2 linked regions of the Macaca mulatta genome follow. The protein of the gene in region 2 purifies or fractionates together with the protein of the main gene of each other region. This does not show direct contact. Links are inferred from orthologs where the notes say so. Each region holds a gene or a part of one and is shown on either strand. Other genes may lie near its edges.

Evidence for each region. The genes of interacting proteins can lie anywhere in the genome.
Region 1: the proteins of RARA (region 2) and KLF5 purify together in Homo sapiens (affinity purification with western blotting; 4 studies listed by BioGRID). This does not show direct contact. The link is inferred for Macaca mulatta from reciprocal best matches to the Homo sapiens genes RARA and KLF5.

What each region holds. Positions count from the first base shown.
Region 1 is NC_133422.1:67,839,728-67,843,375, reverse strand, and holds part of KLF5 (Krueppel-like factor 5), read right to left. Parts: intron 270-3,648; coding exon 91-269; 3' UTR 1-90. UniProt on the Homo sapiens protein: Transcription factor that binds to GC box promoter elements. Activates the transcription of these genes.
Region 2 is NC_133421.1:64,733,521-64,737,168, forward strand, and holds part of RARA (retinoic acid receptor alpha), read left to right. Parts: intron 1-682; coding exon 683-824; intron 825-3,085; coding exon 3,086-3,246; intron 3,247-3,526; coding exon 3,527-3,648. UniProt on the Homo sapiens protein: Receptor for retinoic acid. Retinoic acid receptors bind as heterodimers to their target response elements in response to their ligands, all-trans or 9-cis retinoic acid, and regulate gene expression in various biological processes.

The sequences.
Region 1 (3,648 bases), on a different chromosome or scaffold from region 2:
TTTTTATATATATATATATAGGAACAGTTAGGTTTGTTGTTTGAAAGGGAGCCCGGGGACCTGGAACGGGTCGGGTGGCATGGGCAGCGCTCAGTTCTGGTGCCTCTTCATGTGCAGGGCCAGGTGGTCGGAGCGCGAGAAACTGCGGTTGCACACCCCGCACTGGAAGGGCTTGGCGCCTGTGTGCTTCCGGTAGTGGCGGGTCAGCTCATCCGATCGCGCGAACCTCCAGTCGCAGCCTTCCCAGGTGCACTTGTATGGCTTTTCACCTGTGACAACGAACAAAGGAGGTGAGGCGGCCTGCTTGTAATGCAAACATCCTAGATAACACTGGAGAAGGAATTTCAAAGAAAAAAAATCTTGGCCAAGCGAAGGAAGGAAAGCTCATGAATTCCATTATGAGTAAATACATATCAAAGCCACTCAAAGTAAGCTAGTTATTTCTTATAACCTCCAAGTATTTTTTACCTTATAAAGAAAAAAGCATTTTGTGTACCTTTGAACAACTGAAGAAAAGCAATTTTAGGCAAATGCGAAATGATTCAGTGCCCTTATTTTTATGTACTCCTACACACATAAATCCAGGAAATGACTAGATGAGCCTGAGTGGCTTTATCATTATTGTGCAAATACAGTTTCTATACCAACAAACCCAAATTAAATTATTATAGGACTAATGGCTGTAAGGTGGATGAGGGAGGAAAAAATTCAGAAGCTGTTGCACGAATCACCTATACAATGAATTTCATGTACCACAATTGCTTAACCAGAAACTGGTATTAGATGTTTCTAAATTAGCCAGGTTGAAGCTTGCAGCTCATAAATCAGTTCACTTGAACACATGGCCTCCAAAATGGACTATTAGGGCATTCACTTTTTGAGATTCACACACATCTTCACACCCTCTTTTTGCAGACTGAAGCAAAACACTCTGGTACTGATAACTTCACATTGGTAAAAAGGTTAGACCATGAAACAACTGTAACAACTGTGACATTTGTTGACTTGTATTTAGTTTTCCTTTGTCAAGTGTTGCGCCCAAAATTCATTCTATAAACAATTCGCCAAGCATCAATTATAGGCCAGGAACTGTCCCAAATACTTGCGATACAACGGTTAACAAAATAAAAATGGCTGGCCTCATGGAGCTTACATGTGTAATATACCTCTAAAAGTCTGAAATTGTTCAACCTACCCATTCCATTCGTCCACAGTTCTCTTCCCTTGAGTAGTGAGTTGGTATGTTCCTCCCTCCCATCCTGTAATGTATATTATTCCTAATGCTCTCCAAAGTTTGCCAGCTGTTTAACTTTCAAAACTACTAAATATTCATAATGTAGTCTTAATTCACTGTTGGTGAATGAATCCTACTGGAGATCAGGTATTCCAGTAGGAATAAATACCAAAACGTTCTTTCAGTGAGCATTAACTAGCAGTTCCTACATTTATGATTTTATGATTTTCTATGAATTTTATTTTTTGATAAGAATTTGTGAGATAAATTTGTACATTAAAGTATTATTGGCTTACTGCTGAGTTTTATACAGATACCTTTTTACCTCTTAAACTCTCTTACAAAAATCTTTTCTTCTGAGAGGGAGCAACCTCAGAGTTGCTTTGAACACTTGTTTAGTTCTGACGAAACAGAAACTGCACAACCTTTCTGCCTAATTTAGCAGTATCATGTTCAGGAAGTTGTAGGATTAACTAAGTCAGTCTAAACTTTAAAAGACCCTGTCCTCATCAACTGAGATTTCTACAATTTGTGGTTAATATTTTCGTTGTCCTGATAACCACTCTGACTCTCAGACAAAATCCCATAGGGACAAAGAAGAAAGTGCCAAAACAGACCACATGAAAGTGGTCCCAATTTCCTTCCCTTCAGATTTCACCTGCATTTCCCATGGTATGGAACTGCTGTGCCATACTTCCTCTCTTCTCTCCTCTGCCTCTGACTCAGACAGTTTTGGTTTTAATTCCCTTTCTGATTCCTATCAATCCACTTTAAAAACGCACATCTCAATTCTAGAATTTTTCCTCCCCTCATAGGAAATTCGAACCAGAAATTTAACCTAAGACATTCAAGCCTTTTATGAAACAAAGTATAGATCACGTTCTTGCACTTACAATCACATAAAATATTTGATATATAAAAATATTTTAACACCAGTAGTAAATATAGATATCACATTTATGGATGTAAATCATCACAAAAAATAATTTTGCACAGTACTATTAGTTTTTGTTCCCTGTGAAAAATAAACCACAGAAACAAACATATTGGTTAAATACTTTACTGTCATTTATTTTTATTTTTTTTATTTATTTATTTATTTATTTTTTTTGAGACGGAGTCTCGCTCTGTCGCCCAGGCTGGAGTGCAGTGGCCGGATCTCAGCTCACTGCAAACTCTGCCTCCCGGGTTTAAGCCATTCTCCTGCCTCAGCCTCCTGAGTAGCTGGGACTACAGACACCCGCCACCTCGCCCGGCTAGTTTTTTGTATTTTTAGTAGAGACGGGGTTTCACTGTGTTAGCCAGGATGGTCTCGATCTCCTGACCTCGTGATCCACCCGTCTCGGCCTCCCAAAGTGCTGGGATTACAGGCTTGAGCCACCGCGCCCGGCCTTTACTGTCATTTAATGGAAAGAAAAAGCTATTTCTGATGTCTGAGACAAGGAAAAAAATTCCTATAGTGCTCCCAATTTTAAAAGAAATCATTCTAGTCTTTTGAATTTAATAATTAAATAGCAGAACTGAATTTTCAGAGTTTATGTAAGAAACAAGGGACACTAGACTCTTTTTGTTCACTATTTTTATTGGCTATGAAGCAATAAACTGCACCAGTATTTTTTAAAGTTTACTTTACTGATTGCTTGAAATACGGTAGCCATTAAAGTTTCTAAAACATTTGGGGTTTTGCTCTCAATTTATGCACATCTATAGATTATTCAGCCAAGAATACTACCAGTGTCTGGAATGTTAGTTACTGGGGCCAAGTCTTACCATAAAAGTAAGGACAACTATCCCCCACTTGGGGCAGTTTCTATGGGATTTGTTCAAGTGTCAACACCATTCAAGTAAAACATCGTAGAGGAAGCTGGTACCCAATTTCTGGCCAAACAGCAGACTTGGGCCTTTCTTCCTCAGCCAGAAACACTATGCACAGTACTTCTGGGAAACCAAACTGACTTCCTTTAAGTTATATTTCAACAGGAGAGAGCTTTCAAAAGTTTAATTGGATTTTTACAGAATCTCTTTCCAATACCACCAATTTAAAATATTTAGTTAAGCTCTTTCAACATCAACTGTATTTTTAAGTTCTCATGCTGTTAATGTGAAACTTTCCAAAGGCAAAAAGAAAAAAGTGACAAGTTTGTACAGCACAGAAAACAAGCTCCAACTTTATCTCAAAGTATGTGTTTTCTCATTCTGTTTTTAAATTACAGGAGTATTTTGCTAGAATCTCTAATCTTTGAAAACTATGTTCAAGTTAAACATACATACTATCCATGCTGATAAAGTCATTAACATACTTTACAAAAATGTTAAGCAGAAACATTACCAGCAAAAAGAAAAGGGAGCAGGCACCAGCAGCCATGGAGCACATACTCCAGAGCGAGGTGCTTCTCATTCTCTCGCTTCCTCAC
Region 2 (3,648 bases):
TTCAGCCTGGAGTAGCTATCCCCAGGTGTGGGACAGAGGTCAAGGGCAAAGCGCAAGGCCTCAGGCTGTGTGTCTGCCTGTCCTGTCTGGTTGTTCCTGGTCTCTTCTTCATCTGTCCGCCTGTCTCTCTGGTCACCCTGTATGTGGAGCCCCTGGCCAGCCTGGGTTTGTCTGTGATGGGCCGGCGCACGCCTGTCTCGGTGAACTCGCATCTTTCTGCCTTGCTCCTGAGTGCATGTGTGTGTTCGCCTCCATTTCTCTGGCCAGCCCGTGTATCTGACTCCTGGCCTCTTCGGGCTTGTCTTCTCTTCCTGTGTTCTGAGTTCAGGGCTGTGGGTTCCAGATTCCTGGCTGTTTCCCAGTTAGCCCCATGTCTTCCTCTTTCTGACTCACCAGCAGCCCTGAGGTCCTTTCCCTGGAAGGGAGGAGTCAGATGTGTGCTGTGGGTTGGGGGAAGACTCCTGCCCATCCTGCGGCGTTGAGGCGGGTACTGGGATTCTCCTGAGGAGGATCCTTTTAGGTGAATCATTCTCCCCAGCTTTTCTGGCCTGCTCAGGTAGGCGATGGGCAAAGGCTTGGGGGTAGCAGCTGGCCTGGCCCTCCTCCCCTAGACTGAGACTATAGCCAGGCACTGCTGCCACTGTGGGTGTGGACAACCTGACTCCCTCCCCTCCATACCCAGGGCTTCTTCCGCCGCAGCATCCAGAAGAACATGGTGTACACGTGTCACCGGGACAAGAACTGCATCATCAACAAGGTGACCCGGAACCGCTGCCAGTACTGCCGACTGCAGAAGTGCTTCGAAGTGGGCATGTCCAAGGAGTGTGAGTGCCATGGGGCAAGAGCCGAGTCCCGCCTGAGCTGGGGCCTCAGGTGCTCCTAAAGACCAAGGGAGCAGGGCTCTGTGGATGTGTGTGCACATGCATGAACACGCATGCCGTGGTGTGCGGGCTCACGGTTGAGGATGGTTTGTGTGTAGCTGCAAGGACCTGTTTGCGAGTCTGGCTGGCTGTGTGTGCATGGGCAGGTCTGTGCTCCAGGACCGTGTGTGTGTAACTGTTCCTGTTTCTGCGCGTCTGGCTGTGTGTGCATGGGCAGGTCTGTGCTCCAGGACCGTGTGTGTGTAACCGTTCCTGTTTCTGCGCGTCTGGCTGTGTGTGCATGGGCAGGTCTGTGCTCCAGGACCGTGTGTGTGTAACCGTTCCTGTTTCTGCGCGTCTGGCTGTGTGTGCATGGGCAGGTCTGTGCTCCAGGACCGTGTGTGTGTAACCGTTCCTGTTTCTGCGCGTCTGGCTGTGTGTGCATGGGCAGGTCTGTGCTCCAGGACCGTGTGTAACTGTTCCTGTTTCTGTGCGTCTGGCTGTGTGTGCTTTTGCGCATGTGTGCATGTGTGTTTGCTCCAGGATGGCTTTCTTCCAGGCCTTGCTTGGCTTTGGGGTGGGGCTCAGAGGCATAGTTAGTCCCTTCTGATTGTGAGTCTTAGGGGAGGGGCTTGAATTCTGAGGGGTGCTTGGCTGGACTTACGTGTGTACGGGGGGGTGGAGGGGCTGGCACAAGGATCCAGAAGCCATTGTCTAGTTAAGCCTGGGATCCAGAGTTGGAAGAAAGAATTGGGACTTCTCAGATCCCAGAGGAAACGGGGTTTCCACTTTGGGCTCAGCTGAGGCCTGATGGAGGGAGGGAAGGAAAGGCTGGACAGGGAGACCCTCTTGTGTTGAATCATGGGTGTTGCCCTGGTGACCGGTGATTGATGATGTCAGAGATAAATGACGCTGACAGACGCCTCCTTGTCTGCGTGGCCGTTGCCATGGAGCCTGAGCCTTGGGGGATGGGATGGGGGAGGGGGCTGCAGGACCCCCAGCCCTTTGTGGGGAGGGTAGTGGGGAGGGGGCACGGGTGAGATGGTTCTGACTGTTGGACGAAGAGCCCCGGACAGGAAAGGAGGGGACTGGAGTGTCCTGCCACAGGAGGCTGGGGGTGCCTTGTCCTGAGCCCAGGAAGTGATGGGTCCTGCTGCAAGAGTGGGTGACAACTCGAGACCCACAAGCCTGGAACCCTTCACTTAAGGGCTGTCACCTCCTCTTCCCTCTGTTTGTGCCACCTTCTGCTCTTTTCATGGCAGAAGGACCAGGGTGGGGACCCCGTCTCCCTCCCACCAACTCCCCTTCTCCCTCCCACCGCCAACTCCCCCTCTCCCGGCTGCTCTGTGCCCCGGAGCTGAGCAGCTGCCATTTCAATAGAATTAAAGCTTCCGAATGATAAACGTCTTGTCACAGCTGCAATTTTCTCTTCCCAAATTATCCCCCCACTCTCCCTCTCCCTCTCCCTTCTCTCCCCTGCACTTTATTGAATTTGCAGAATCGACATGAGTGATCTCCAAATTATGCCAGCTACCCCCTCCTCGCTACCCCCTCCCTGAGCCCCTCCCCCACCCTCCCTTCCTCCCGCGTCAGCAGCCACCACCACCAGCCCTGTGAGTGATTGTGTGTCTGGGATAATCGGCTGGTAACGACCCCATCGCTTCTTTAAAGCCGAGTGGTGTGTGCGGCTCAGCGCCCCTGGTGATTTGTCAGCTCCCCAGCTAATGGGCCAAGAGATTCTCCCTGCCGGGCCCCCCACTCTCAGGCTGGGGAGCCCTACTCCCCACTTGTCCCAGGAGCTGCTCAGAGCCAGTCCCAAGGGACCCCCAGGGAGACTGCAGCTGGGAGGGCTGGGTGAGTGGAGGTGGGAGAAGGACCTTCCTGGGGAAAGAGGAGGCAGAGCACCGAGGAGGGAGACACCGGCGCCTGGAGTGTGAGCTGGAGTAGACGCGTGGGGGACAGCACTCGGCTGGCTGCGGGGGTGTGTGTGCAGGGCCACAGCTGTGCTCATAGGGCTTCTGGGGCCGAACTTGCTGTGTGGGTTGGGTGGGCATGGAGGGCTGGAGTGCGTGGCGATGCCTTGCCTGCCTGTGAATGCGTGCTGTGTGCGTGTGCTTACAAGCCGGGGTGACCTCCTCAGCAGCTGGCGGCTCTCTGTCAGGCTGGGGGTGGACGAGGCCCTAAGCAGCCTGCAGCTGCCCTCTAACCCCCTCTGCCCTCCACAGCTGTGAGAAATGACCGAAACAAGAAGAAGAAGGAGGTGCCCAAGCCCGAGTGCTCCGAGAGCTACACGCTGACGCCGGAGGTGGGGGAGCTCATTGAGAAGGTGCGCAAAGCGCACCAGGAAACCTTCCCTGCCCTCTGCCAGCTGGGCAAATACACTACGGTATGGCTTTCCCCTGGCCTGCAGGGAGGGATGTGCCCTGGGCCGCAGGGCCAGGACGGGCCCCTCTCAGACACCCCTTCTTGTGCCAGGCATTTCCTCCTCCCCCCTGGCTGGATCTCTTCGTCCTTCCCTTTCCCTCTCTTCTCCCTCCCGCTGCTGCCTCTTCCTAAGGAGCTCCCAGGAAGTGAAGGCTAGGTAGAGGGCAGGCCTGTGGGGGCTGGAGCCAGGCCGAGAAGGGGTGCCATAGAGAAGAAGGCCCTCACTCTCCCTCCTCCCCCAGAACAACAGCTCAGAACAACGTGTCTCTCTGGACATTGACCTCTGGGACAAGTTCAGTGAACTCTCCACCAAGTGCATCATTAAGACTGTGGAGTTCGCCAAGCAGCTGCCCGGCTTCACCAC